4 linked regions of the Oreochromis niloticus genome follow. The main gene of each other region encodes a partner of the protein of the gene in region 3 in a complex. Links are inferred from orthologs where the notes say so. Each region holds a gene or a part of one and is shown on either strand. Other genes may lie near its edges.

What was found.
Region 1: the proteins of mtor (region 3) and rptor are in contact, whole or in part, in a cryo-EM structure (PDB 6BCU), measured with the Homo sapiens proteins. The link is inferred for Oreochromis niloticus from reciprocal best matches to the Homo sapiens genes MTOR and RPTOR. Residues at the interface, in NP_001373429.1 of Homo sapiens: His597, Thr600, Pro632, Val644, Ser645, Gln646, Thr647, Ala648, Val649, Ala653, His686, Ala688, Gln689, Glu691, Met721, Asn722, Pro723, Ala724, Phe725, Met727, Pro728, Phe729, Arg731, Lys732, Leu734, Ile735, Leu738, Thr739, His743, Tyr771; in NP_065812.1 of Homo sapiens: Phe278, Lys282, Cys283, Ser285, Leu286, Pro288, Gln380, Ala381, Asp383, Leu384, Asp387, Glu411, Gln412, Thr414, Ala415, Val418, Trp419, Thr421, Met422, Arg427, Asn428, Glu431, Gln432, Lys973, Ile974, Asp979, Leu980, Glu981, Ser982, Lys986.
Region 2: the proteins of mtor (region 3) and mlst8 are in contact, whole or in part, in a crystal structure (PDB 4JSV), measured with the Homo sapiens proteins. The link is inferred for Oreochromis niloticus from reciprocal best matches to the Homo sapiens genes MTOR and MLST8. Residues at the interface, in NP_001373429.1 of Homo sapiens: Leu2269, Arg2270, Met2271, Ala2272, Pro2273, Asp2274, His2277, Leu2278, Thr2279, Leu2280, Met2281, Gln2282, Val2284, Glu2285, Val2286, Glu2288, His2289, Asn2292, Asn2293, Glu2536; in NP_001186102.1 of Homo sapiens: Tyr20, His22, Asp42, Ser43, Gln44, Val45, Asn46, Tyr62, Asn87, Glu105, Gln148, Thr174, Arg221, Tyr222, Leu224, Ser268, Arg270, Gly271, Trp272, Trp274, Ser290, Lys313, Val316.
Region 4: the proteins of mtor (region 3) and fkbp3 are in contact, whole or in part, in a crystal structure (PDB 5GPG), measured with the Homo sapiens proteins. The link is inferred for Oreochromis niloticus from reciprocal best matches to the Homo sapiens genes MTOR and FKBP3. Residues at the interface, in NP_001373429.1 of Homo sapiens: Glu2032, Tyr2038, Phe2039, Gly2040, Arg2042, Tyr2088, Val2094, Leu2097, Tyr2105, His2106, Arg2109; in NP_002004.1 of Homo sapiens: Lys160, Pro161, Leu162, Ser163, Lys170, Tyr198, Lys201, Gly202, Gln203, Pro204, Asp205, Ala206.

Annotation. Positions count from the first base shown.
Region 1 is NC_031971.2:37,769,133-37,776,972, forward strand, and holds the start of rptor (regulatory-associated protein of mTOR), read left to right. Parts: upstream 1-4,710; 5' UTR 4,711-5,466; intron 5,467-7,239; 5' UTR 7,240-7,249; coding exon 7,250-7,417; intron 7,418-7,840. UniProt on the Homo sapiens protein: Component of the mechanistic target of rapamycin complex 1 (mTORC1), an evolutionarily conserved central nutrient sensor that stimulates anabolic reactions and macromolecule biosynthesis to promote cellular biomass generation and growth.
Region 2 is NC_031973.2:21,211,833-21,219,753, reverse strand, and holds the start of mlst8 (target of rapamycin complex subunit lst8), read right to left. Parts: upstream 3,298-7,921; 5' UTR 3,153-3,297; intron 2,976-3,152; 5' UTR 2,957-2,975; coding exon 2,828-2,956; intron 1,885-2,827; coding exon 1,833-1,884; intron 1,743-1,832; coding exon 1,580-1,742; intron 1,501-1,579; coding exon 1,425-1,500; intron 1,322-1,424; coding exon 1,169-1,321; intron 1,050-1,168; coding exon 925-1,049; intron 841-924; coding exon 677-840; intron 363-676; coding exon 244-362; 3' UTR 1-243. Other genes in the region: voltage-dependent T-type calcium channel subunit alpha-1H, read left to right, coding at 6,223-6,359, 6,549-6,651, 7,666-7,802.
Region 3 is NC_031984.2:28,353,107-28,360,304, forward strand, and holds the start of mtor (serine/threonine-protein kinase mTOR), read left to right. Parts: upstream 1-4,195; 5' UTR 4,196-4,338; exon of another isoform or gene 4,339-4,368; intron 4,369-4,785; 5' UTR 4,786-4,799; coding exon 4,800-4,928; intron 4,929-5,112; coding exon 5,113-5,221; intron 5,222-5,335; coding exon 5,336-5,568; intron 5,569-7,198. UniProt on the Homo sapiens protein: Serine/threonine protein kinase which is a central regulator of cellular metabolism, growth and survival in response to hormones, growth factors, nutrients, energy and stress signals.
Region 4 is NC_031980.2:4,842,890-4,850,603, reverse strand, and holds fkbp3 (peptidyl-prolyl cis-trans isomerase FKBP3), read left to right. Parts: upstream 1-4,801; 5' UTR 4,802-4,853; coding exon 4,854-4,958; intron 4,959-5,230; coding exon 5,231-5,332; intron 5,333-5,408; coding exon 5,409-5,510; intron 5,511-5,926; coding exon 5,927-6,062; intron 6,063-6,219; coding exon 6,220-6,287; intron 6,288-6,361; coding exon 6,362-6,459; intron 6,460-6,688; coding exon 6,689-6,743; 3' UTR 6,744-7,016; downstream 7,017-7,714. Other genes in the region: faua (FAU ubiquitin like and ribosomal protein S30 fusion a), read right to left, coding at 7,603-7,714. UniProt on the Homo sapiens protein: FK506- and rapamycin-binding proteins (FKBPs) constitute a family of receptors for the two immunosuppressants which inhibit T-cell proliferation by arresting two distinct cytoplasmic signal transmission pathways. PPIases accelerate the folding of proteins.

The sequences.
Region 1 (7,840 bases), on a different chromosome or scaffold from region 3:
ACAGCTCCTCAAACAAGCTTCACCCCTGTTTAGGTTTGCACCCTGTTGGACCTCTGCCTTACCACCCCATATTTCAGATACAATGTGGGTGTCTCCTGGTAAAAACATGCATGTGCCATGGGCTACTGATTGTCACCAACACAGCCAACCTTTAAGTGAAGGAAGTGGAAAGTAAAGCTCTGGGCTCTTTGATGGGGACAAGACTTGGGTTCAGATATGTCAGCTTCGCCTGGGTCAAAATCAGAACCCAAGAGGTCCAGTCCTTCACTTGATGTGTTTTCCACTGAGTGGATAAAAACATCAAGTTCACCACAGAGGATACAAAGGAAAAGGTTACCATTTCTGGAATGTGTTGTGTTCATTTATAGAGCGTGGAAGCCTCAACAATGAATTTTACCTGAAATCCACACACAGAGACTAATACCAGCTCTTTGACTCCCGGCACCCAGTGGAACACAAACAATTAAAGAAATGTCAGATAACAACCAGGGAGAAAAAGACTAACAGACAAAACAGCATTGTAGATTTGTTAGAGAAACTCAGAAGAATTTTCTCCAAGCATGACATTTCAGTGCACTTCAAACCCAGCAACACCCTCAGACAAAAACTGTTGCATCCCAAGGACAAAGCAGCCAAACAAAAGCTTAACAAGCTCGTATACGGTGCAGTGCAGTGAGGAGAGCTCTGATCTCCAAACAGGAGACACCAAACATCCGCTCCACAAAAATATGGCACAACATAGATGAGCAGGACAAGACTCAGCTGTACATCTGCACTAGGACAAAGGTCACGCTTTTGATGATGCCAAAGTTCACATTTTGGGCCGAGAAGGAAGTCTGTTGGAGAGAGGAGTAAAAGAGGCCATCTATGCTTGCTGTGAACGACTATCGTTGAGCAGATATGTGGGCTTACGACACCAGCTCGCATCACAACTCACATGATGAATAGAGGTGTAACGACCCTTAGAATCACCTCCAAAGTAGATAGCCCCTCACTAAGGGTTTATTACCTGGGACTTTCCACCAGTTGTTATAGAACAGAAGCTGCGTCTTTGATGAAAACCTAAAAAACTCCAGCTGCCTTTTTCCCAAGTTCTCGAAATCACCTGGATAACCAAGAACGTACAAACAGAACTAATCTCTAAGTTAAACTAATATTTCAAAGTCACACTGCAGGGCAGCTTATGGCAGCTTATTGATACAATTAATTAAATATTAAGGAAAATGATTGAAAAACATGACTTTACAGCACTGATCAACAATTTCTTACAAATAACCAAAAATTTACTTTTTATCTTCATCATATTTTGACTATGACATCAATAATTCAGCAACTTGTGTAAAAACTGGAACTTTGAATTATTCTCCTGAGCCGAGTTGTTATTTGTCTGAATTTTCACAGCTGACTTAATTTTTTCAATTATCATTATGAGACCAAATTAAGGAAAATTAACAGAACGAACAAAGGTAACAGATTTTAACAAGTGCTAATTTACATTACATGACATGTGGCATTATTTATGCTTAAATTGCCTTCAATTTAGAAGACTGTGTGATCAGAGGTTTGACACAAACGCCCAGAAAGTGTCAGTCATCATAAAATGCTGCAATAAATGGGCAGCTTGCAGTATTCAATGAGAGACAACACTGCACTATTGAATTAATGCAATTATGAAAGTAAGTATGTGGTGTGTGGATTGTACTATGTAGAAGAATGCTAACACAAGCACTGAATTGCTCTGCCTCCTATTCTACTTTTAATTATCCTAGGAACCAAAAGTAAGCCTGCAGTCTGAGAGCGAAGTGCTCTAATGGGGTGCTACAGTACTATGAGGTCTTTAAAGATGTGGCCAGATTATTCAAGACCTTATATGTGAGGAGAAGGATTTTAAAGTGGATTCTGGATTTAACAGGGGGCCGATGAAGAGAAGCCAGTATGGTAGAAATATGCTCCGTCCCTGTTAGGACTCTCACTGCAGCATTTTGGATCAACTGGACTTTAAAGGCTTTTGGGAAAACCTAATAATTATGAACTGCAATAGTCGAGCTTAGAAATAATACATACATGAACTAGTTTTTCAGCATCACTCTGAGACAGAATGTTTCTAATTTTAGAAACTAATTTCCTAATTTCCACCAGTTTGCTATACTGGTTTAAAAAGCACAGCTAAAGCCAGTCTAAATGGCTGGGTTTGGGCACATTTATGACTTACACATAACACAACACTCCTTATGAACTACTGAGGGGCGATGTGCACATTTTCAGGTTAAATAAATCTCTCATTTACAAACATCTTCTTGATTTCGGTCCAGATTTTTGGTCTGGTTTATTCTTTCTGCTTTAATTATTCATGAAATGTGTCTCAAACTTCGCCAGATTCCCTTTGTGGCACACTGAGTTGATTGGGGATAATATAGTGAGGCATACACATGTGCAGATAAAAGTCCTGCAGGCAATCCACGCTGCTTATCGGGGTAATATCAGTGCAATGAAGTCCAAAGAACTCTCTACAGACCTGTGTGGTTAAACTATGGTGAGGCACAGATCAGGCCAAGGGTATAAAATCATTTCTAAAGGTTTGAGTGTTCTGGGGAGAATATGGCCTAAATATTTATGAAATGGAAGACATCTGAAACCATCTGGACCTTTCCGAGAGTAGGCTGCTGGGACAAGCTGAGTAAACAACCAAGTAGAAAGTTGACCAAGAAATCAGCCTGCCAAAAGGATGAGCATCCCAACAGCTCACTGTCAGTCAGTTTTACAGCAGTCAGACAGAAGCAAGTTTTAGCCTCTCAGAAATTGTCAGACTGCATTCAGAGAGTAGTTCATACTTTCCATCCAGTTTGGTAACACTTGAAACGGAGAATGAGATAAGCTATGGAAATCTATTTTTGTTTTCTGAACCTCACTCTATTATTGCATTTCTGTTTTATTTACAGTATGTTAATGAAATCTATGCACTTCACACAGAAAGGCTCCAGCTTTTCAGCTGGCCTGCAGTTTAAAAGCAGGAACCTTCTTGGTGTGGGATGACAGTGGGATAACCATTGCACCACTGTGTGTGGATTCTCTCAGACACACATGTAAGGTTAACAGGTGATTCTAAATTCCCCTCAGGTGTGAGTGTGAGTTATTGCCTTTTTTCTGTTCCTCTCCACGTTGTATCCCACGTCTTAGCTTATGACAGTGGGGATGGGCTTTGGCCTCCCGTGACTCAGAATTGGATGAGTGGTTAAGAAAATGGATGATATGGTTACTGGAACACTGTATCAGATTTCATCCAATGATTCTAACTTTTTGGATGCTTGAGAAGTTCTTTTGAGGGGGTATTCAGTTCAGTTTAACCCAGATGCCATTTCCCATAATGGGATAACTATGAGTGGCATCAGTGGCTCGTGCTATTTCCTCACAGTAAGATGGCTCTGAGATTGAGCCCTCCTGAGGATTTTATTTGTACAGAGTTTCCATGTTCTTAAACTGTGACTAAGTGGGTTTTCTCCAGGTGCTCTGGTTTCCCCTCACAGTCCAAAAACATGCCTGTTAGGTTAGTCGATTATTCGAAATTGTCCAGGAGACTTGTGTGCATGTGACTGGTAATTTAAAGCACACTGGGTGATTATTAAGCAAGAGAACTGCTGTATAAATGTCAGTCCATTTCAATAGTATTGACGTCCTACTCATACAACAAGTCAACTGATTGTATAAATACTGTATGGCTTATGGTGTAACAACTAAATTAATGTTAGCTGGTACTGATTAAAAAATAATGCCATTTAGCAAATGTCCCCCCAAGTGACAGCAAAATTACCTGAAATAGTTTCACAATTAAAGCAAATATTTTGGTGTTTAGGATGAAAGGAAGGAAGGATCCATGCAAGTGCTTTTTCCCACTATCGCTGAATAAATATGGCCACAAACCTGTGTAAGTGTATTCTTTATTTTTTTTGTTAAAGCTTTTCCCTTTAATAAGGAAAAATAAGGACATTTGGTACAAAAATAAGGACCAGATTCACAAGCGCTTGTTAAGTACAGCCTTTAAGCTGTTTATGAACACAAATATCTAATCAACCAATTGCATGGCAGCAGTTCAATACATTTAAGCCTACTGGAAATAATTGGTGGAGCTGTGGTGAGACGTATTTAACCACGCATGGGGTACAAGTTATTTCTGTAAGCTAATAACCAAGCTGATAACATCACAACCTATTTGGGATTTTATGAAGTCACATTTTAATAGAAATTTGATACATAAAACAGGTAGTTGGGAAAAATATGTTGGGGGGGGGAAAAGTCCTTGTTTCCAGACCTCAGTTCTCATTTTAAAAATAACAAAGCTCCTTTTCTTAAATAACGAGATTTGTTTTCTCAAATGAAGTTGTAAAGCACTTTGTCAAGCTGAAGTTTTTTTTCTTTCTTTGAACTTTACTGTAAGTTGAAGATGCAGAACATAAAGTTCAATACTTATAAAGAATACTACAATTAAATTCAAGGGAAAAATGTCAGGAGAAGAAAGAAAACCAAAACCATAATAACTTCTTTTTCTTAATTCCAAAGCACCTTTTCCTAAACAGTGGGATTTGTCCCTCCAAAGGAAGCAGCAAAGCAAACCACCTTGTCAAGCTGAAGTAATCTGGTGATAGAGCAACATACGGGAAAAAGTCATAAAAATTATATGTAAGAAATACTAATTTCGATTCAAGAAAAAAAAAAAAACATTGACAAAAAATGGCCATTATCATTTAAATAAAGTATTTACAAAATCGTAAATGCTTTTTGAAGGGAAAAAAAAGGTTTTGCGCTGGTAAATGTACACTTACGCTAAAACTGCAAGTATTACAAAGACTTCAGTTACAACCTTTCATTAGTTACAACCTTCGTGCAAGGACAGCTCAAAGCCACTTTGTCGTGCAGGTTTCAAAGGCTTCAGGCTGACGTGAGTACGTGTGTTTATATTTTGGTGAGTGACGCCAGGAACAACAGCTGTGACGTTTCACGACAGCTTCGCCGCCCCAACAGTGCATTCTGGGTTCAACCCAAGATGGCTGCGCCCTTGCAGAAGTGCTGAAGAAGTGCCTCTTCGGAGAAATTCTCGGAATTATTTGAGATTTCCTCGAAGACTGTCGCTCGGAGCCGACTACCAGGGCCGCTGGTACGTAGAAGGAGTCCACGCGAGCCCAGTCATTGATAAGTGCGGCCGGCGTTACGTGTGGCTGTGGCAGACTGTCCGTGTGAAGATGGGCCTCGCCTGCAGCCCCTTCCCATAGCGAAGAGCCGTGGGGAGAGGAGCCGCAGATTCCCCTGCAAACACGCGCCCGTGCAGCTCGGATTTGACGGCTTTGACTTACTCTACAGGCTCTGGACGCTGCCCTACAATTTGCTGACCAGGATTGTGTGTGCGACCGTGTCTGTCATTGTCCGGAGAAGGAGAGCTTCCACAGCCCGGGCTGATAATCCCACCGCACCAAGGTCTGCATCTGCACGCTTCGCTGACACTCTCCGTGCCTTATCTGCACATCTGCTCGGTCCTCTTATCTCTGTCACGCGTGTGTGGTTTCAGAGCCTCGCTTTAAAAAGGCTTTAAGTGAATATTACCGGCCTCGGTGCAGTCTGACACCTGACAGCAGCAGAGCTGTTACATTAGCCGCGCTAGTTTAGCTTAGCTAGCTGGACTGGACTGAGCCTGCTGCTCGCCAGCATCCGTGCAGACAAGTTTAACACAGCTGGGCCGTTTTAGCACGAATGCAGAGGCACTAAAGATAAAACCCATCGACCTCCTCTGCCGTGGCTCCAGCTGTAGAGCTGAAACACCTCTGCAGCTGTTGCTTTACTACAGAGTCAGGCAGCTAGCCTGTTAAAATAAAGTGGAGGAAGCCAGATGTGAGTGTGTTTGGTTTCAGTTGCTGTTGTGGGTTTCATTCAAACAGGATTCACAGCATCAGATTCACACGGCATAAAAATGACTCATAACCACCATCCCATGACTTAAAGGGCATAAAGTGGAAAAGTCAGCAGCCAGTGTTGATAATCAGATTATTATCTGAGTGTAGAAACAGCCTGCTTAGTATAGCCCGTAACAACAGTACAAGAAGGGATGGACCTGTTGTTACTGTATGGGACAGTAGCAGTCTGATGATGACCGAGCCTTTGGGGGGCTTTTGGTGTACCCATTGTTTACAACTGGAGATAGATTTTTCAATCCAAGTTACAGAATGGACAGTGCAGAGGTCAGCAAACAGCAACAACTGTTTGAATGTGCCGGCCGGCCCTGGTCCACACAGCGTGTGGAGATTGTATGTTGTTCTTGTGCCTACATGGGTTTCTTTTGGGTACTCTGGCTTCTTCCCACAATGCTTGTGAGGTGTGTTTGTGATTATAAATTGGCTGTGTTAGACCTGCTTTCTAATGCCAGCTTGGATAAGCCCTGGCCCTCACCAATCCTGTATAGGAAGGATTTAAGAGGACGGATCTTTATCAGATGATGGGTGATCCATATTGACAAAGTGGACTTTGGCCCAAAAGAAATGGCTTGTATTTGTGGTGGTAGCATGGCCAAGAGGGACAAACATGTCCAAGAACGTACAAACAGGGACGGCTGCCTCTGAGGTCAGGTCTTCATCCTGTAGGACTTCAACAGCTGCACCGAGAGACCTGTGGATCTAAGTCATGATTGTTAATTTTTTTTATACTAGTGCTAAGATAATATAATCAAATGTTTTATTTTTATAACCAAAAAAGGAAGCAAAAGTTCTCTTACATGTTGTTTAAACACTGAAGATGTTTGAATGAATAAATTTATCTAAATCTGGATCCAAGTCTCGAGCTCTCTGAACAGGCCTACTGCAGTTATCTGACAGCGCGCTTTTATTGCTGTTTAAATTTTCCTATGAATATCTCAGTTGGTAACCAAAAATGTATTTAGGGATGCTTACATCTGTTGTGTATATATTCTGTTTTTACTGTGTTTATATATTATTTATCTTCCATTACTTAATAAAATAGCTGCACAGTATGTTTTGATTAGCAAATTTAGCACATTTGGCTGCATCTGGACTGGAAATTTCTCCAAATTTAAGATTTAAGTTTTTTAATTATTTATTTTTTAGACTAGTGTCAGTATTGACTATATGCAGTAATTAAATGGCTAAAGTGAGCCTACAAATCTTTTTGTGGATACCCAGTAGCTACAGCTAAAGACACTTCAAAATCCAACCAGTGACATTAACATGAGCGCTCTCCCAGCAGGGCCCTGATGAAAATGGACTCAGACTTGCTTCATTCACCGGCCGTGGGCCTCGCTGAGGAAGAGGAGGCCGATATGAATGACTGGAAACTTCCCTTGGCCTTCATGAAGAAGAGGCACTCAGAGAAGATTGAGGGCTCCAAGGCCCTGGCGCAGAGCTGGCGGATGAAGGACAGGGTAATTTCTCTTCTCATCCATGTCCAGGAGTAATTCAAGAGCCTGAGGATGTTTCCTGTGTGAGCTCTGCTTTGAGGTCACAGAGGCTGTTTTTCCTTTTATCTCAGCTCATAGAGACTTGTATAGCTGCATTTTCATGCTCATATATCTGATGGGACTGTGTTAGTTTTAAGCTGGAACCAATAAAACAGGAAATCTAAGATTGTTGATTTAATTTAATGAGTTTTGATGCTTTAGATACAGCTTTAGAAATGTTCAACACTGTTATTTTAAAACGATAAATATTATAGTATGGTTTTTCCCCTCTAATCAGCAGTTCCCACAAAAAGATCAAACTCTGATACCATCTTTCATGTAACGTATTGATTGAACATTGATTTTTATCCTAGAAGGATTTCTTGTGGTTTGTAACTACAGCAGAAA
Region 2 (7,921 bases), on a different chromosome or scaffold from region 3:
GCCTCGTCATTGACAGATTTCTTTCTGTACGTCTGTGGAAACAAAATAAGTCCATTAAAACAGATTTTAACTTTACAGATTTTTATTTTGGCTGTGTCACTCTGCGCATATGCCAGAGATGGCCACTGTGCCCGCTTCCTCAAGTCGATCACTGTACTGGCGCTGACATACGTGACATGAGTGGCACCCTCATAAGAGTCTTTAGTTCCTGTCTGACAACCTTTTATCTCCTCCTTCTGCTTCTCAGCCGAGCACGCTGTCATTAAAGGCCAGACACACCACGGCCTTCTGGTGGCCGCTGTATTCCCTTTTGATCTCACCAGTTTCCACGCACCACAGGCGAGCCAGGTTATCTGAGGAGGCTGTGGAGTGAGTGAAAAAATAGAATTAAAACAAAGCAATGTCCAGCCTTACATGGAAGTGTCTAAAAGTTATCATAATCTGAGAGCAAACTTAAAGCCATGTTTCATTTTTAAACCCCTTTTACATCATGGCAGATGTAATGGCAGGGCAGGGGTTAGTGTGACAAATCAAGACAAAATCAGAAAATGAGATGTCCTTTTTATCTTACAAACAGCCACATTTCAAATCTGCAGCCCTCAGATAGATTGCAGTGTTTTACTTGAACAATTCTTATTCAGTTTTGAGATCTGTTGCAGTGTGCTGCTGTATGGACCTGTAACAATATACTGCGAGTCTCCGGAGAAGGCGCAGTCCCACATCCAGCCTCTGGATGTTTCTCCCGGATTATTGCTCTTGATGCTGAGCTCTGTCATCAGTGAGAAATTGGACGTCCTCCAGATCTTACACGTCTGGTCTGCCGAGCAGGTGGCCAGCAGCCTGGAGGCGACGACGAATGCAAAATGTCAAGTTGTATTTTTGGTGGGGAAATGAGGGGGAAATTGGAGAAAAAGGTTCACTCACGTGGAATCGGGGCTGAACTTGCAGCGGAGGGAATAGCGTTTGTGCGCAGGGATCTTGGTTTTGGGAATGAGCTGAGTCACTTCATCCCCGATGCCTCCAGCGAGGTTCCACACGTAACAGTTTCCCTTTAAAAGAGAGCCGGGCAAAAAAAAAAAAAAAAGGTTTTCAATAATATAACACGATATAAAACAGTGAATTTATTAACCTGCGCCACATATGCTGCAGATTTTTTTAAGCATCTGACCGAGCTGTTGACTGCTGCCATGTAACTCGCATCTGGGTCAATGTGAACTGAGTTGATTGAGACCTCCGGCTCTGGAATCAGCTGCTCATTATGGTCTGTCTTCAGATCCCAGATATGGATCACTCCACTCTGGTCTCCAACTATAAGCTCTGCCTAAAAAAACATAATGAAATCTTCGGCATTAAGTGCAAATGCTCCAGATAGTAACCAAGAGCACAGCCTCACCTGATTCATCTGTGTGTACTGAGTGTCTCACCTGGTTAGGATGCAAGCACACACAGTTGATTGGAGCGTTTACTTGGAAGATCCTCTGACACTGCAGATTTCTTGACCTACAAGGTAGAGCAGGGATCAGAGTTTAGTTTGCTGATCATTAAATAAACAAAGACCAGTGAGCTTGTCCTTCAGTACCTCAGGTCCCATATGCGAGCCATGCAGTCCTCTCCTCCTGTGTACATCCAGCGTCCATCTTCGTGGAAGCCCACAGACGTGATGTTCTTGCTAACTCCATCGTAGTTGATGACCGGGTTGGGGTTGTTGGAGTTCAAGTCGTACATGCGGATATGCTGATAACCTTGAAAGCAGAATGCAAACATTACTATGAAGCAAAGTAACATTAAGGTGAGAAATGAGAAAAAGGATTGTGGGGAAAATTGTAACCAACCTGCGGCTGCAATCATACTTCTGTCAGGTGTGACCTCGAGTGAATTTACTTGCTGAGAGTAAATGTTAAGGAAGTGGACAATGTAGGTTGCTGCTATATTTTACAGCTCATCAAATTTAAACTGCTAGGTAAGGTCAGGGTACTGTCAGGTGGACAGATGACATCAGAAAGGAGTCTCTGTGGACTATGATGTTCACAGACAAGATTTTGATCTGTAGTGAAAGCAGGCACCAGGTGGAAGAGTGTCTGGAGAGAGGAGGAATGAAAGTCATGAGAGAGAGACAGGCGTAACAGTCAAGATAGTCCACAAGAGAGGTGACAAGAGTGAGCAGGCAGACTGGAGAATGTGGGGATGAGTGTCAGAAGGATAGCAGCAAGAATGAAAGGGAAGGTTTGTAAGATGGAAGTGACACCTGCTATGATGTGTGGTTTGGTGACGGTGACAGTGACAAAAAGATACGGGACAGAGCTGGATGTGGCAGAAATGAAGATTTCAAGATTCATTCGGAGTAAAGAGAGTGGTTTGGAGACAGGTTAGAGGCAAGGCTGAGATGGTCTGGACCTATGCAGAGGAGAGACAGTGTAAATGAGACCTGTGAAGTGTGAATATGGAGCTGCCAGGCAGGAGGAAAACAGTATGACCACAGAAGAGATTCTTGGATGTAGTGAAGAAGGACATGCAGAGGGTTGGTGTGACAAAAGAGTGTGAGATGAAGGCAATTACCCACTTCAGCGAACCCTAAAGGGTTTATAGAACATCTATAAACAAATAGAAAACACAGAACTAAAACAAAAGCACTTTTTGCGTTCACGTGGATTTTTGTGAGAAGCTTGTTTTCTTTTGTTGCCTTGAAGAGAACCCCCCCCCCCCCATAGACAACATCTGATTAACTTTGAACTTTAAACCTGAGATTTATAAATGGTCATAACCTATAATTATTCAAACATGACAGTACACATTCTGCGTAAGCCTCCATATATCAGGGTAAGGATACTGAGTCCTGGTGCTGGACCGTCCTGGTGCAGATCCCGCTGTGGGCCTGCCAGAAGCGGACAGTGTGGTCGTATCCAGCCGTGGCCAGAATGACCGGGTCGCTGCCCACCGTCCCCTGATTCACATTCATGACGAACTCCTGGCGGATACTGCAGGGAAATTCAATTTGCAACAATTAAAGTAAAACACAAAACACAGCTAAAGCACAAAAAAGGGTTAAACTGTGAACGTATCATAAGCTAACTTTAGCAAGAGAGGCTAGCCAAACTTATAGTCTATGCAATAAACAATAAACGCTTCTAGTATGAAACCATTAGACCCCTTACCTATAACTACACAGCAGTACTACCGTTTTAAAAGGACAAATTTCTTTAGTTCCCCTTTGTTGTTGTTAGTGTTGAAGCCAGCCAAGAAGTACGTCTCCTTAACGCGTCCCTTAGAAACATAATAGTGTTTCAAGAGTTCCGGTTCAATCACTAGATCAGTACCGCCCTCTGCTGGTGTGTCCACGAGGAATAGACATGCTGCAATTAAATACAATGATTTTCAAAGAAGTGTATACCAATAATTCATAATATTAATTAAGACTAATCGTATTTCATTATGTAATATTGCAACATCTTTTAATTTCAGCTTTATTAGCATCGTCTGAAAAGTTGCTTGTGTCAATATGGCGATATCTCAGTCCTAATAGTCAGTACCAAAGTAAAAGAAAGTAAATAATAGAAAGTTGAAAAATGCCATTGAGTCAATAGGATTTAAGATGATCGCTTCTATCACTGTAGCCTGTGTTATTCTAAGTACTACTAAACTTTTCGTACATTTCAAATGGCAAGGGTTGAATAGAAACATAGAAACATAGCTGGATGTATAGAAACGTGCCAATATGGATACAGTATTGTTGCTTAACTAATAAGGGGTTTTTTTTTCGGTATATAAAAAATTACACTCCAACCTCGTGACATCATCCTCTGTCTGTACAACCAGTTTCTAGAACCGCTCAGAAAAACCTCACAAATACTGTACTCAGTACCACGATCAACACTAGTTCTAACAGGTATTAAACACATCTAGTATCAACTTGACAGTTATGGAAGACTCATTATTAACAATGTAAAAACAAAAATGAAACAAAAACTATTGCAAAATGATATAAAACTAAAGACATCATAAATCAAAAATCATCATGGTATATTGTCCCCTAATAGTTTCATATATGATCTACTGTCTGAAATGCACTGATGTACAAAATATAAAATTATAAAGATTGAATTAAGATTGATCATTATCTAAAAAAAACAACATAAAACAACAACATAAAAACTCAGGTGATTAAAAAAAATAAACATGAGGCACAATCAATATGATTACTATTTGTTTTTGTCCTAGTTTAGTATTTATTCCTAATTTTGTGTCATTTTTTGGTGTTTCTTTGGGGCAGATCAGGTTAGAAAAGTGTTGCCAGTTAAGCAACATTTTGTACAAAAAGTCTAGGTGCTGTGCTTAAGCTTCAGTCTCCACCTTTTCGGCCAGAACTTAATGATTAAAATATTAGCTTCAACACACCCGCTATCAATAGTTTCTTGGGCCCACATTAAAATATTATAAGATAAATTTTAAGAATAAAAAAACTTAAAGGGATGAAATTACTGTTTAATAAAACAGTTTGCTCTTCATCGTCAACATCCGGTTTCAGGATGGTTGCTGTTGGTTACAGCTTCACATCAGAGTTTGGCTCATTTACCTTTGATTGGCCAAAGTCAAGGTGAAGAGGAGAATTTACAATCAGAAACCTGTGAGTCTGTTTGGGGGAAAAATGTAACTTGAGTATTTTCGAAAATGTAAAAATGAACATTTTCAGAGTTAAGTGTAATAAAGTGGTTTTAAATTTCTTTAAAATAAATTGTAGTAGCATAATTAGGTACAGAAATGTCCTCAAAGCATTGTTGGATTTTCTTTTGACTGATTGATTGATTGAGCTAAATTAGGAAATGGTTTTCCAAGTTTTACTTTTGTATGTTTACTTCTGTCTGCTGAACCTGAGGATAACATGTTTGCAAACTGTTAAATATTTCTGTCTCCAGTGCCTATAGTTATTATCTAAAAGAGGCTAGTTAGTTAGCTAGCTAATGCCATACGCAACTCTTTTATCCAAAACCAGTTAGCTAATCCAACCAAACTTTCATAAGTAGAAAACAAATGGAGAGTTTATGATTGTGTGCCGCCTATTCATGTTTATGACAGTGTCATGCTAACAGCCCCATCATGTAGCCTCCAATGACTGTAGCTTTAGGCTAATGCGAAGTCACTAAAACATTAGCATGTTGCCTAAATAAGGTACACTCAACGTTAATGTGTTGAGTCACTGCTCTTCCGGACTACAACTTAAAACAGTGAAAAGTTGTCAATTCATTTCAGTGAGAATTACAATAATTTTCTTTTGTTTACCTTTATTTGACAGCTTTCCTAACTCATTGGTTCTGTTTTTGTTATATTTCCAATTATTAATATAATTAATTAATTCTCCATCTAACACACTGTAAACACTGTAATAGTTACACCCTTTTTGCACATGCTCTTTTCTTCTCAATAATATTCCTGTCAACATTCTTGATATTTATTTATAATCACCTCTGTCAATCCTTGATATTTATTATTGAGTGATTTGTATATATTGTGCTGTTTCTTAAATTTGTAAATCTGCGACATATTGTATTGTTAAATAGTCTAGTCTGTTTCTGTTACTGTATTGGAGCAAATGTAACCCACATAATTTCCTTAGGGATTAATAAAATATACTGATTCTGATTCTGACTGATTAACCTGTTTTGCAAGGATCCTTGCAAATGGCTGTGCGCTATTTTATCTACTCTGTATTCTACATTATAATCAATACAGATCCTTTTGGCCACTGGATAAGCGGAAGCGAATGGATGGATGGAAGTTTTTACCTGGATGATATATAAAAGTCACTTTAACAGAAACTGATTGCAGATATGTTTGAGAGCAACAGTTTCTGAAATACTCAGACCTGCTCCTCTAGGGTCAACAATTAGCCACATTCAAAGTCACTTAAATTCCCCTTTGTTCTCTGTTATGATGATCAGTTTAAATTTCAGCAGTTATTTTTGACCATGCTTGCATGACTAAATGCACTGAATTGCTGCCATGTGATTCTCTGATTAGGTATTTGACTTAAGGAGCAGTTGAACAGGTGTAATGAAATGTATCCAAACATTTAACAGAAAAAATCCATATATAGCCAACTCTATTAGTGTGGGACTGCTTAACTTTTTTATGCAAGAAAAGGAAGTTGTTTCTCCAAATAGATCTGTATATCATGGTTTTCTTTGCCCCTTTTTCCTGACCTCTCTCAGATGCGTTTCTGGTTTCATTATGCATGAAATCCATGATAGACATAGAGGCGTCGTTGTAGAGGAGCAGCTTCCCTTCCCAGAGGTAGTGCCTGTGTGCTTCGGACTAAAGCAGACGAGTAGACCCCGCAAATGGTTCCTCAAAATAGTCTCTGGCCCATATCCTTTCTGTACTGAATGAAGTAAGAATGTCATTAACACAATTTCAAACCTTTTTTTAAAATTTTTTATAGGTTTTTTTTCTTGTATACCACTCAATATGTCCACATTAAACACTTTTAGTACGAAAGCTTCCTTTGTTGCTGATAAATTTTATGAATGTGTTTGGACCTTAACCTCTTCTTCTACATGGTTGGATTATTTGTCCATACTGGTGGTCCTGCTCAGCTGCGTGAATGACGGCATGTACCAGCCTTGTGTAGAGGCGAAAGAGGAGAGCTTCACCCGAGAGGTTATTATAATGAGCTGAGCATCAGAAGAAGAGACTAGCAGACTAGAAGTGCTTATCACTGTGCAGAAAAAATTATGCATCTTCATTTTCATCATCTTTGGCTGGCGGTTCTAGTTCTGTAGAAAAAAAATAGTCCTTAAATGAACTATTTATAACACAATTTGTTGATGTTTTTCAGGGGAGGGCCATAATTTCGGGAATCATGAATATTCTGCTAATATTTCTACAGCTGAACTTCAAATCATAGCAATTTAGATGAAGATGGCACAACAGGCCCAACAGAAAGTATACAGATGTACAACATGCGAACTGTCCCTTTAAGGACTAACAATAAGCTGTAGTTTATAACACACTTCGTAAACGCTCTCATTTGTTAGTCCTATAATGTTCTAGTGTAATCTTGATTCTTGGCTTCACGATGAAAAATCCCAAAGTGCTTTGTCAAGGACATGTTTTAAGTTTAAAATGTGAGTTTTTGTACCATATATGATACTAACAGTGTTAGTCCTACACTTAATATTTCAATTCTGCAGCTGCTTTTTAAATGTTCTTCTTTAAAAACTGACAGGATTACTCACATCATTTAAAGGATTTGTTGGTTTGTCTTATTTGTGGCCAAAAACAGATTTAACACAGAAAGAGAGAATTTTGAATAACATACATGTATTTAATTTTCACCTATTTCTGTTGAATGACTTTAATTAAAATGGTCATCTCTTTTTTCTTAACCTGACATAAGTCAGCATTAACTTTGTCAGAACAGTCACTTAACAATATGTCATCTTAAAGAGGAGGTAACTTATTGCAATAAGTCACATTAAACAGTAAAATCTTGTAGGAATGGATCAGAGCCCATAACCAGACCCTCAGGCCCCTTACAAGCTCAGATGCAGCATCTGGATATAGTATGTTATATCTGTGCTACTGCTGTTATTACCAGTGATTGTATGTTAACAGTATGCCTTGTATGTTTTGATATTTGATATGATGATGTTTTTCGTTCTCTGTATACAGATTTTGGGTTCTCTCGTCTTTCTTTACTTCATCATGGAAACGCTCATTAAGACAATAGCCCTGGGATTCATCGGCCATAAAGGAAGCTACCTGAGCAGCCACTGGAACAAGTTTGACCTTTTCATCATCTTTGCAGAGTTAGCATCCATGTGTCTGTATCTATGTGTCTCTAGAATTTAGTTTCAGTTTAAAAACCTTTGCAGAGGAATTCCAAAAAGATGCAGTTTTAGATTATTGGAAGGCACGCTTATTTTTA
Region 3 (7,198 bases):
ACGCCAACTTGAAAAAGTTTCTGCAAGTCATTATGTTTAAAACCAGCTGTAAACTGTTCACTGACCGTGCTGACAGCAGGGCAGCAGTGAATGATCGCAGGTCTGCTTCCATTAGTTTGTTACGGGACCTCTCCATCCATCTGCTCCTGCTCCCGCCCAGCTCCCGCTCATTTATGCAGAGTGGCCACAATTTACAGAAGGCCATTTTGTCTAATGGATACCATTCATTCATTCCCAGTGTGCTCTTTGGCAGGCGCTCACCAGAGTGCATTAGGAAATTAGTCCACTGCGAACGCGGACGCCATTGGAGATGAACGGCAAGATCAAAACCTGTCTGACTCCCGGTGATTCAGTCACTGCCATAGAGCTGATTTTGTATTCTGTGTCTGTCGGCTATACTTCAGTTGCTCCATCGGTAATGACACCATTTTGATGTGAAATTGGCTACTCGGATTCACTATTAGAGAACTGTGCCATCTTCCCTCTGTTTGACATATTGAATCCCACCGTAATAAAATGATTACCAAAGAACAAGACACAGGCCTGTAGTGGATATGATGAGTAATGCCTTTATGTAAACACTAATACTATTTTCAGCCAACGGCACCAGCAAACACTGTTATACCTCCTGATTAAGGACTTTTTGATGTACAGGAACTCAATGTCAAAGAGGATCCTCATTTCCATAAGCTGGTTTTAGGTTTCCCCTGCAATGTGATTCATGGATTAGCAATAGTGTTTGATCTATATGACTTGGCAGGGGAAGGAAACTTGATCAATAGACTGACTCTGTGGGTGTATGTGTAGCTGCCCTTCAGGGAGCTGAGCAGTGTGCCAGAAGACAAACTAAGCACTGTGACAAGAAAGTGCAGCGTCATCATGGATTTCTCCTCTGTAGACTCTATTTGATCTAAAATGCCTGTCAGGTTTCATTAGGTAATTGCCCTCTACATTGTCTCTGAGCTACTTTGCACTTTTTTTTCATCTGCTCAGCTTTGCTGATTCAGTTCAGAATCATTTAAATCTCCTGCAGTGACTAAATTTAGACCTACCTGTATTCATCAAAAGGACACGATAGATACTGATCTAAAGATTTAGAGATCTCTAATTCTTTGCTTTTCTAGTAAGAAGTTAAGTCTATCAGCACAGAGTGCTGTTTGTATTGTTTTTGCTTGACTGCCATATTGCTCCATCATAGCTTTGCTGGGCTTTACAGTGCTTTCACACACAATGGGAAGAGCAAAACCCCTATCCCTATGTTGGAATTAATGCTTTGTGGTTATCCAGGTGTCTCCCTCTAACACAGGCATAATAGGTAGTGAAGGTATCAAAAAATGTGTTGCCCAGGCAGGTGGGTAAGATATAACACATTCAGACCAGGATATAGTGTTGGGCTGCAGCCAGGTAGGGGATAAGAGCTGCCTCTAGCATTTAGAACCAGATGTTACCTCATGAATTCTTGTCCAGGAATCTGTGACTCATACTACACCGCCCAACCACACAAAAAAACGGCAACAAAAAAAAACGCAACAAAAAACCCCCAGAGAACTTGTGGATACTGCAAAAAGAAAAGGGAAAGAATATGGAGAAGTGGTGGGGGATAAATCATGAAGCATTTGACAGGGGGAGGGAAGGATGAAGGTGGGAAGGATTAACAGATGGATAGATGGCAGATGAATAAGGTAGGTGGAGGAGCTAGTGCAGAAGCGAGTGCTTTTTTCCCCCTTCCCCTCCTGACTCTCTCCATCCTTCAGTGTAAATGGAATGACAGGCTTCATCGTGGGGGAAATATTTCAAAAGTGCGGCTGAGTGAAGAGGCAAAGCAGAAAATAAACAGGATGGATGGCAGACGAATCAAAGCCTTGGACTGATGAAAGTGCACCCAATATCCTGTCTGTCACTTAGCAGAGGAGGCCGGCTGCTTGTTAGGACAAGAGCCTCTGCAGCTGTGAGTGTACATACATTTGTGGCGCTGAAGTGGGTTTATATGTGCGTGTTGAAGTCAACTGACTGCATGTATGTGGGTTTTTTAATACCATTTAAGCACCATCCAAGTCTTTTTTCCCCTCTGTCTCACGCACAAGAACTTTTCAGTGAAAGCACATGTTTGACACAAAGGTGAGTCTTCCCGATTGAATGAGTTGGTGTCTGATGGGTGAAATATGTCTGGCCCAGCTACACCTACGATAGGGAGGGAGGAGGGCCTTGGGTAGAAAAGTAGGAATCTGTTCCTCTTTCCTGTGTTGTTAAAAGCTTCATTTTCTCCACGTAAAGCGCTGTAAGGCTGTAAAAGCTCTCTTTCTGGTTCTCCTCCCATTGCAAAACCACAAACCCATAGCTGCATTTACACAGCATTTACACATTAACACGCACATTTGTATTTGCACCACACATTTGCACATACATGATGCACGCATGCTCACAGAAGTTGCAGCTCTGCCGATTACAGCAATAAACTGATCAGTGTTTGATTTACTTCATGTGCCACAGGACCTCAAATGCATTTAATTTGGCACAAGAAAAATGTGCAAGAAGGACTATGACAAATGGTTATTCCAAAGCAAATGATGATCCATCTTCACTATTATGATCCATCTATTAGAATGAAAGTAAGAAGTGGTTGTTTCATTTAGTAAACCTGAAGAGATCCTGTTAAAGTGTGGCATTGCTCTTCATATTAAGTGATGATCTTTTTTCTTTTAAAGCTGTTAAAGAGAAACTTTTCAACTATGGTTGTAATTCCAAATGAAAGGTTCACTGTCAGTAATGACTGAAATTAATTCAGCATTTCAAAATGACAGGATGGCTCACAGTGATACTGACTGATCCAGTGCTCTCAGTTCTACTGTTATAATCCATTATAAATGTGTGGGTTTTATGGGTGTTTTTCTCTGTCATTACACAAACTTGCTACTGCTGTTTTTCTGAACTTGAAAAAATGCAGGTGTCTCCTTGCATGTTTTAATGCCAGGTGTGCAATAGCTGCACACGTGTATGCTGAAATACATAAAGTAAAAACTCCAGGATCAGTCCGATTGTTTTGCAGGTGTAAAATTCATTGATAAGTTAGAAGAATTGGTGATTGTGTTGGATGATGGGACCTCCTGACACCTCTAAAGGAACACCCTTGGGCCCCAAACCCCAGGGTGGGAACAATGGGCATACAGTACATTGTTTGCTAGTGAGAAATTATCTCCTATAATGATCTCATGGGGAGAAAGACAGTAGCTGTGGTTCATTTTGATGATGAAAATTCATTTGACATTTAGGCTCCAATTTCCTACAAGTGGGAAATAAGAGGGTACTCGCTTAATTGGTGTGCTGCACTATGGTAAATGTCACCGCTCATGTAGAACCACGTAGAGCCAGACATGTTTCTTTAATACTGCAAGGTGTCTGTATGCCTGGTCAATGTCTCCCCCAAGAGGCTGTAAGTTGAACAGCAAAATAAAAAACAGCCACACAGGGCTGCTGCACGCAGTGGACGCTTTTTGTACACTTATTATTATCTGCATTTAAAGTGTATTTTCATTCATGTCCTGAGGAGATCAAAGCTGTATAGTCTGTGTACCTCTTGTTTCTAGAAATTCTAATATGCTTATACTGTATATCTTATTAAATTATCTAAATTCTCAGCAGTATTGGGCCCATTTCCTCCACCAGATCAAAAGCTGAAAACAACAACAACAACAAAAAAAAAACCAAACAAAAAAACTCCCTGACATGACAAGTATGGAGACAGTTAAGGGAAAATATTCCCTGCTGTTTTAGTATTCAAGAAAAAAAAGAAAGAAAAAATATATAGACTACAGATAGTTCAAAACTTATATATATAAAAAACAAATGTATGAAAGGCCTCCATTATGGAGCTATAAATGTTCTTACAAGGCTGCTTTGTACTTATTGTTGTTGAACCAAAGCGACTATCATTAATGTTATTAAGTAGCTACACCATGAGACTAAGTCTGCCTGTAGTGCTCCAGATTAATGACATTTAATGACATTTAGTCAGGGGAAGAGCACAAACTATAAGTGTAGATTGTTAAATTATAAGTAACATTCGTCCACCATAATTTTAAAGGTTTACTGGAGTAAAAATGTTGAGGTAACTGGAGTACTGGGCCTCAAAAAACATTCACATAAAAAGACGAGAGGCTCTCGAAACTACACTCAAGGACGTGTGAGTTGCGCTCAGCTCAGCGCAGACTGCGCAACTTGACGCTTGTGAAGTTCCGTGTGTGTATCGCTAACTCGAGCTAATTCATCAGCTAGCCAACCTTGCGCAGTGTTGGCCAGGTAGACGTACAATGAGAGATATTCCGGATAAATCGAATAGCAGTTAAGTGTTCGGCATTGTAATACAAACACGTAAGTGATACAAAGCGACTTTGCCTCCTTGCTATTGGGTTGTCACGGGAAATAGGTTAACATTAGCACTAGCTTGAGCTAATCAAAACAAGCACGAAACACTCACGAGGCTCCGGTTTCACCTATTACACCGCAACTACACGGGCGTGTCCGCTTTTGTATTAGTTGTGTTAAGAAGTATGATGTATGTTTCCTAATAACTAGCAAGCTTTGCAGCTTGTTTTATTAGCTAACCAGGCACGTTAGCTAGCTGGGACCAATGTCAGTTAATAACATTAACCTGGTGTTTTATCAGATTAGCACTTGCATTCCTTCTTTCCATGTGTACTGTTTACCTTGTTGTTGTTTTTAGATACTGGTTGTTTAATAACCCGGAATGTTGCATTGAAACCACATATGTCGCCCTCCCCCATGCAGATTAGGCCGTCCAAATGGTGGTCATATCAGGCACAGCCACTGTGCTGCAGCAGTTTGTCAGTGGACTGAAGAGTCGAAATGAAGACACTCGAGCAAAATCTGCCAAAGACCTGCAGCACTATGTGACTACAGAACTCAGAGAGGTAACAGCAATAACCTATATGTGCATAATTGAAAGCTGTCATGGGAAAACCACTTAGTATACTGGATACTTAATCAAGATTGTTGCCCACTACAGTTGGAGAGTTTCACAAGTCATATGGTACAAATTCATGTAAACAATTCCTTCCTTTTTCCATACTTGCTGTTTTGACACTTGTCCCACAGTTAAGCCAAGATGAAGCTACTACGTTCTACGATGAGTTGAACCACCACATATTTGAGCTGGTGTCCAGCTCTGATGTGAATGAAAAGAAAGGAGGGATTCTTGCCATAGGTAAGCATTAATAAAAGGTTGTTAAAATTGTTATATTTTTAAGCGCTGTTAATTTTGGACTTATTTAAGATCTCTTATTTTCTATCACTTTAAAATGATTATTGTTTTCATCAGTGAGTCTAATTGGAGTTGAAGGAGGCAATGCCACCAGGATCAGTCGATTCGCCAACTACCTCCGCAACCTGCTCCCTTCCAGCGACCCCGTGGTGATGGAGATGGCCTCTAAAGCTATGGGCCACCTTTCTATGGCGGGGGACACCTTTACAGCTGAGTATGTGGAGTTTGAAGTGAAGAGAGCTCTGGAATGGTTGGGAGCCGACAGAAATGAAGGGAGACGCCATGCTGCAGTAAGTCACTAGCAGACAACAGTCACTGTGGTGTTTGCTGTTCAAATAAAACCACATATTGGTGGTGTTTACATGTGCTGGAAATGTGGGCACGTTGGGAGCTGTAATAACTTTATCTATTGCTGTAGTGAAGGCAGTGTTGAAAGTTGCTCTAGTGTATTTTGGGTTGAAGGCACAAGTAGTACTTCATATGCACTCTCATACCCCAAATATCAGCACATTCTTGTTCTGTTTTCCCTGCTAAAATGTTTCCTTTATAAATCTGCTCATGCCCTTGTAACCGTTTCATTAATATTTTCCTCCTTGATGGTTGCATCAAGCAGTTGTTGTTACATAGCTGTTGTTATGCAGCTGCATGTGGTTTAAAGGTCTAAAATATGTGGCCTCTGCTCTCTGGCTACAACTTGCTTGTGGTGTTGGAGTGAGCTGGAGAGTAGTGAAGCTTCCTAAAACATATTTTTAAAAATTTTCTCAATGCCTACATTCTGAAGTGCACAAACATGTTTACACCTCCGCACAACGCAGTGTTCAAGGTGCACCTTTGCTAGATTATGTGTGCATGCAACCAGGGTGAATCCTTCATCCTCTTCACTGTGGCCTCTTTGCTCTGTTCTGTGTGCGTGTGGGTGGGTGTCGCCCAGCTGTGGCATCAGCAAAACCTCCCAGGAGAGAAGCTTGATGAGATGTTGATGCAACCCGGTCACTATGTTTTTATAGAGTACCGACCCCAGACACTGTTATTATTGGCTGGGGCATCACACGCACAGTCCAGAACAATCCTGAACATAGAAATAATTAGAAATCAGAGAATGTGCTTGCCTTTGCTGTGTTTTATTTAGCTTATTATGCAATTACCATTTTCACATTTTTACTGGCTGTAGAATATTAAATCTAGTTACTTTCCCCAGAATGTCCACATGATGTTGTTGGGAAATAACTATAAAAGAGCACGGAGATATGGAAAAGGGAGATGAAAACCAAATTGGCAATAAAAAAACTAAAATTCATGGTTGAGCTGCAATCAGTGCCAGAAACAAAGAACACAACAAATCCATCCATCCATTCGCTTCCGCTTATCCTTTTTAGGGTTGCGGGGGGCGATTGAGCCTATCCCAGCTGTCATAGGGCAAGAGGCGGGGTACATCCTGGACAGGTAGCCAGTCACAGGGCTAACACACAGGGACAGACAACCATTCGCACTTACATTCACTCCTATGGACAATTTAGATTTTTCAATTAACCTATCCCCACAAAGTGCATGTCTTTGGACTGTGGGAGGAAGTCGGAGTACCTGGGGAAAACCCACGCAAACACGGGGAGAACATGTAAACTCCACACAGAAAGCCTGATGGTGGAATTGAACTCAGGACCTTCTTGCTGTGAGGCAACAGTGCTACCGTACTGTCCACACAACAAATCCTACAAGCTAAAAAATTTAAGTGATCAAAATGCACTAAGCATGGGTAAACGGTCAGAAGAACACACATAGGATTGGTTGTGTAAAGAGATCAGTGATTTCACTCCCAAGTTGAATGTGTTCCAGCAGTAAAATTGAAAAAGTAAAGAAAAACAGGATCTTTTTTGCTCCTTAGCAAGATGGAGCCATTCATGTATCAGTAGGAACACAGTG
Region 4 (7,714 bases), on a different chromosome or scaffold from region 3:
CGCCGACCTCACAAGCGCTGCGAGCTGCAGCAGCAGGAGCAGCATATGAATCATGTTCTATATGAAGCTTAAAGACATGCTCTCGCAGCCCAGAGTGAGGCAGGTGAACTCAGCTCGCCATATGGCTTAGAGGGAGCTTATTAGGCTCTGAGGCAAAAAACACATTATCCACAGTGGACCAAGGCCACCTAGGGATGATTTCCATTATGAAAGCCTTTAATTCTGTTGGTATGAGTAGGAGAAAAGGGGGGGAGAGAAAAGTAATACTTTAGCAGAGGAGCTGCACTCTGGCCGCTTGGCTCGTGCAGGGATGGATGACTGGCAGCGAAGGTGAAGTGTGATTAATTATCTGAGCGCACTTATGTAAGTTATTACATTGTAGATACAAACAAATGACTCCCTGCTCGACCTAACTCCTCTCCTCTCTCTCTCTCATCGCATTATTACTCAAAATAATTCCACATATTAAACTGACCCCGTGATAAAACAAGAAAAGCAAAACATCAACATCAGGCATTTATAACACAAACAGAGAATGAACACCATCCAGCCAGACAGTGATTTGTTGACTCTGTTGCACTGTTTTCCCCTCACTATGTTACTTATTTACACTTTTTTATGGCACTTATTATTGTTGTGCTTTTCAACTGGCTGAATCATTTTCCCTCCTGCCAAGCCTCATTATAAACCTTATATCCAGAAACTACTTTTTTTTTTTTTTTTTTTTTGTAAACGTGGAGCTAAATCTGCTTCACCATATCAACACTGTATCCATAGTGACCCCTTGAGGTTCAATGCTGGAACTACAGTCAGACTGAACGCAGTTAGACAAATTTGGTGTTTTGCATCTTAGCAGATAAGGCGCATGTGCCACCGACCCATTTAAGTGTCTCTGTGGCCATAGAGTTAACTTAACTCCACTATAATTGTATTTAAAATTTGAACCTACAATATGTCAGAATCTCTCTACTTTTCAAAATGCCTTCAAACTCCCTGGCTCTCTATCATATCTAATAATTTTGGTAAATGATAGATGGGCTGGTTCTTACATAGCTTTTCTACTCTGCTTGAGCAATTCAATCAGTTTAGTTCAGTTTTATTCATATAGTCTCAAATTACAACAATAGTACCCTCAAACAAGCACTTGGCAACAGTGGGAAGGAAAAACTCCCTTTTTTTAATAGGAAGAAACCTGCAGCAGAACCAGGCTCAAGGAGTGGTGGTCATCTGCCACAAGCAGTTGGGCTTGAGGGAAGGACAGAGGATACACTGTGGAAGAGAGCCAGGGATTAATAATAACTAACAAGCACTCATACGCACTTTATACAAGCTTTCTCTCTAACATTCACACTCCAGTGAACGCTTAGGGAGCGACTCAGGGTTCACCATCATGACCAAAGATGCTTTGGGAGTGCATACTAGAGCAGCCAGTGATCCAACCACCAACCTTTTAATTAGCAGATGACCTGCTGTACCTCTCTCTCGCCCTATAGTAGGTAGGACAGGCTCCAGCCCTCAAGTGAGCTTGAATTACATGAGTGGAAGATAACAGACGGACGGACTGCTCTACCTCCTGAGCCACAGCCACCCCCAAAACAATCAAAAACTGTACCTTTATTTTGCAAATAAACTCAATGCTCTGGCTCTCATTCCATGTTTGGAAACTCTTGGAACTCCAAGTAAGCCTGCAGTCTTAGAGTGAAGTGCTCTGTTGGGATAGTAGATTTTTTTGTGTTAACTAATGTGAAAGAAAGCATCCCATATGACATCCTTTGAAAAAAAATTAAGATAGCTGAAAACTAGTCTGATGAAAGAAGCAAAAATTCAGTTAGTTGAGCGTCTGCTCCAGTCTTTATGCTTTGAGTTGTACTCTCAATAAAACCAACAAAAAAGGAACTTCCTTCTAAAACTCGTCAGAATGTACTTGTTCCCAGAAACAAAGGCTTTTCTCTGTAGGAAACTGTCAAAAAAGGGAAAAAAAAATCACACAATAGTGTGTTCTACTCCCTCTAGGAGAACAAGTGTAAACTTGCTCCAGTTCAGACTCAAACGGAAAATGTTAGACCCTGGAACGAAACCTGAGCAGGAGGACAAGCATATATTAATCTCTAGTTTAGGAAACAGACATCTCACAGGTCCCCGGCTGTCACCTTTATTAAATAACACCTGTACGAGCCGGTTCGCGCTGTTCTGTAAGGGAATATAACGCACAGTTGAATGACATCTTCCATTTTTCAGCAATTTCCAGCATCGAAAAGCTTTTATTTCTTAAAACAAGAACACTCTGACAAGTTCAGAAAAAAGGTTTTTGAGGATATAACTGAGCTCACAAAGGCTTCACTGAGTAGTGCACCTTGTAATACGACTAAGTGGCATTGCACACTATGCCACTGCTGTGTAGCCATTATAGGATGGTAGTGGATCCTGAAAATGGGCCTTTAAGCTTATGTAGCTCTTACATTCAAAATAATGAAAATAAGTAATTAATCAATCATTGTTTGCAGCATTTCTAATCAATTTCATGTCATATTAGACAAAAAAAAATAGAAAAGAAAAGAAAAGAGGCGACATTCAAAGACAAAGCTGACAGAACAAGTGTTAGAGGGAGTTTAACTAAGGACACATTTCTGCAAATATTACTGCAGGATTATATTGTTTGTAATCTCCGTGCTGAGGGGCACATCTAAAAGAATGTGTATCACTTGTCTCTATAACCTGTAGATGTGAAGAGCTCTCAGGAGCTGCATCAAATTAAATTCCTCCCTCGCTTGATATGTGAGCTCATTTAAGCTTCTCGCTCTGCTTGTGCAAAAAAATCAAATAAATAAATAATTTTAAAAAACATGCTTTATCGCGAAGCAACGCGCCAGACGTGAACCCAAACTTCCTGCAATAAAAGTTTCATCCACACACTTCTGAACTCTTAAAGAAAAGATTATTGAATAATGCGAAAAATAAACCGTATCTGAGGATGAAAAACAGAGAGTGGCCAAGTGAGACCTGCACATGACAGATATTCAGGATGCCACCTGTAAAATAAAATAAAAAAATTTAAAAAAAACACACTGTATCAGGAGGCAAGTAAGATCAATTATTCTAGATTTTCCCCCCCTTTTTATAGATTTCCTTTCTTTTTCTTTATGCCAATTTATCTCTGCAGTTTGCGCTATTGTAACAATCCTTCCCTCCCGGGCAATAAAGGAGAAGCAATGAGACCTGAGAGATTTCCTCTAAAGAGATAATTATCCCTCTCCTCTTCCTTGTGAGCTTTTCATCCAGTGTCCCTCTTGTTGCCAGGAAACCAACCAGGGTAAAGACTCTGCGCAACCCTGCTCTCCAGCTGAATGTAGCGGTGGCAAATCGTTAACATCTCGCTGCTTTTCGAGGCTGTTGATAAACAGGAGATAGCGAGGACAGTTACGGGACACATGTGAGGCCTTTTGAAGCTGCGCTCTCACTGTCGGTGAAGGTGATTTCGAGGCCTACGGCAGGGTGTAATAGATGAGGTCGGCGTGTTCGCTCTGAGAGAGACATCACAAACACGAGAGGGGGGTCTTTGCTGTAAGTCGTCTACATCTAAGTCCTTATGTGGGATAACCCTGTGCCTGGTTGGGAAGTGTGTAGTTAGACCGAAAGCACCTACAAGATAAAGACCATAACCGGAACATATCAAATGTTCTTTACTTGTGGCCATTCTTATCTCGTTTACATTGCTGCACTCATCTTAATTATATTAGTTTAACCTGTGAAACGTGAACACATAAGATAAGGAGGACCAGTCTTCCAAAAAACAGAACACTCCTCATTTGATGTTTTCATGGCGAGTGCTGTCCAACCATCGATGGCCAGCCATGAAAGACCACAGTATGAAATATACATCATTTTCATACTTATCAAACTGGTCATCCTGGAATGAAAGAACACTTCCATCATTACAGGATAACAGGGACCATTCAGAACAACTTTACATTGACTTGTAGTGGCCATTCTCTCTACAGGGACAGGTGACCTGAACCATGCCGGTAAAATGCTCCCAGGAGCATAACACTGTAATGAGACAGCAGGAAGAGCAGTTGTTGTCTTTAAAGTAGCCAATATGGATACAGATAAACAGATAAAGGAAACCTGTTTCCCACAAGCCTACATTTAGTGGCTCCAGCTATTCGGGGGGAGATACTTTGAAAATGGAACATAAATGACATCAACCCCCCTGAAAAAAAAATACGGAGGAAGAAGAGTCGCAATGCACAGGAAGTTTAAGTAGGATATTCAATAGATGTGTTGCTCTGTAGACTGTGATGCACCTCTTCCACTGCAGACGGTCAAAACATAAAAAAAGAAATGCTTAACACGCCCAAAGAAACTATGCATGCAGGACGTGATCTGTGTGCATTCTCTTGTTAATGTTATTATTGGAGGAGACACAGTTTGTTCTCGGTGTAACTGCATATATTAGATAAGTGCTTTAGTTATCTTGATAGAAGTCAGGGGCACGTGTGTAACTGCTGTCATATCTATTGGACAGCTAGTTGTCCACTAGGCGGCGGTATACACATCAGACAGTTAATTCAATATAGCGCTATATAATATATATATTAATATATATGATGATAATATAAGCGATACAAATGTATCTTATATTTCTTCATTAAACTTTTATTCCGCGTTCACGGTAAAATGTGTAGAAACGCATGTCTTATCGTGCACTCGCAATAAAGGTCATCCGGGAAAAAAGTAAAAATACATTTAAAAATAGAATTTAAAAATTTTCATTGTAATTTTGTATTAAAACGTCAGAATTTGCGGTTTTATATTGCGCACGGAGGTCAAAGTTCACTAGTTCGCCTCTCAAAATGGCGGCTGAGCCCACACGGGAATGGAGCGATGAGCAGCTCAAAAGTGATGATTTGCCCAAAAAAGACATAATAAAGTTCCTGCAGGACAATGCGGCCCACTCGGTATGTTTCTCCCTTTAGTCTCCTCGGGATTCCGGTTGGGATATCTGCTGGTTACCGGTTTGAATTCTCACTGTGAAGTGCAGCATGCAGCATGGCTAGCTCCGATGGGATGCTGTGCTTCAGCTCAGCACAACAGAGCACAATGTTGAGCACTATCTGCACATTAATACGAATAGAAACAGCTTCTCTTAGGGTTTGACCTGTGCAGCTCTTCGTGGCTTGAGCGCAAGCGAGTTGAACTTTCTCCTTCTGTTCGCTTGTTGTTATTTCAGTTCCTCAACGAGCACAAGCTGCTCGGAAACATCAAAAATGTTGCCAAAACTGCAAAGAAAGAGCAACTGATTATCGCCTACGATCAGCTCTTCGAGAGTAAAGTAAGTCACGATTATCACCCGCCTCGATGATGAACCTTGATAATGAACATAAAATGTGTAAACGTGTGATTTGCAGAGGTTTAAAGGCACAGAAGCAGTGGAAGAAGTGACCGAGAAGGTTAAAGCTGTGAAAGTCGAAGAAAAACCCAAAGAAGTCAAGACAGAAGTTGTGGATGAGGTACTGGTGCACACCATCAGATATCAACTTTTTTACATCATCATTCATATAAAAAAGGAAAACATGACATTCTGTAATTTATTTTGTCCATCCGCTTATCCCACATGGGGATAAGTGCATTATAACCCAGTGCAATACAGTCCATGATACTGATGCTCAACGTTGGTTAATGGAGGAGGGGGGGGGCGGGGTGCAGATTTTGGTTCTGTAGATTGTGGTTGCTGGAGTGAATATAAAGTTCAGGGGTACTCATGAAGACTCAGAAATGCTGTAAAAATAATGTAAATTGGGAAATATTTTCAATATAAAGGTAAACAGTTTCATTGTATACTAAAGTCATTGTACAAAAAGCCGATTCTGATGAGCACCCAGCGATTATTCACATTTATTGACCACTGCTTCATTACTTCTCTCAGGGTCCTCCAAAGTACACCAAATCAGTGCTGAAGAAAGGCGACAAGACAAACTTCCCAAAGAAGGGCGACACTGTGAGCTGCTGGTACACCGGAACCTTAGAGGATGGGACTGTTTTTGACACCAATGTTCCCACAGGTATGACTGTGCCACACCCTTAAGGTGATGCTCTGTCACTAGTCGTGCTTTTGCATTACCAGAAAATGTTAAACTAAGTAATTTGTACTTCTTAGTTATGTAGATCAAATCTCTATGTAGCTATGAAGAATCTGTCCTTGTTCTCTTCAATCTACAGCGGCGAGAAAGAAGAAACAGGCCAAACCACTCAGCTTCAAAGTCGGCTTGGGCAAAGTCATCAGAGGAGTAAGTTGCTCTGCTGTTGTCATTTAGTTTCTTAACTTTTTTTTTTCTATGTCTAATGTCTGTAATCATCACAGTGGGATGAGGCCTTACTGACAATGAGCAAGGGTGAAACGGCTCGATTGGAGATTGAGCCTGAATGGGCTTACGGAAAGAAAGGCCTCCCAGAGTCCAAGTATCCTTTTTTTCCCCCTCTTTGGTATTTTGTACTTTGTGTGCATTTTTCATAAATATCTCCATATTTCTAAAGGGATGTGATGAAACTACATGAGCTTTCTGCACATAAGGTCAGAGCTCAGGTTCTAATGTGGCTTGATTCTTGTTTATAACTGTCCTCCTCCTTTATTGTTTTACGCTAATGTAATTAAATGAAAGCCAAATTTCCTTAACTCCACGTCTACCAGAATTCCACCCAACGCAAAGCTGATTTTTGAGGTTGAGCTGGTGTCTGTGGATTAGCCCAAAGCATGCACTACATTTCAAGAATTCACACTTAAAGGCCTTGAGGTAGAGGGGGACATCAGCATGCGTCTTGGATTGCAATATTCCTGGGATGCCTTTGCTTTAGTATAACATTACACATATACCAACTGGATTTAAAAAAAAAAAAAAAAAAGTTTGATTTGGACAAAGTGGAATGGCTTGTTAATAATGTACATACAAGAGACTGTGAAATGTTATCTTTTTGTTCTTTTGCATGTACAATGTCAGAAATAAATCATTTTCCCCAAATTATATAGGTGTTCATTTCAGTTAACCGGTCACGGTACAGATGACACCGGTCTACATCGTGTTCTTTAGCCTGAAATCAATTGTATTAAGAGAACTAGTTCGTGTGGTGTAGGAGGTACTAAGACCTCCCAGTACAGTTTTATGCCAACTACTAATTGTTCCTGGAAGATTTGAATAAGTTATAAATACAAGATGATTCAGTAGGAATATACCCATAAGGTGCAAGACTAGTCTAAATATGCAGGGAAATAAAAACTAAGGTATTACATGTACAGTGATGCACGTCTTTAGGGTCTAAGCATCCAGTGTTTGCACACAGGAGGAGCTGGTTTAGCCTCAAAGCTAAATTTACCAATTTTAGCTTGCATTAATCCCTAGAGACAGAATGAAGTTTGGCTCAAATACAGGACAATTGTCTTTATTAAGAAACTGCAAAGATTATTTGTTAAAGATTTAGATTTACATTGCAGGACAAATCACTCATCTAGACCAAGTCAAAATTGTTTTTATTTTGTACAGGATGACATTTAACTTGGTAAAAACTGACAGGTGATGATGCCGTTTCTCCTTTGGGGCAGTGAACCACTTAGGAGTTGGCATTGGGTCCCTTCTTCTTTCCGAAGGTGGGAACAACATTCACAAAGCGCCTGTTGTACTGGATGCGGCGCTTAGCACGGCCAGTCTTCTTCTTCTTCTTC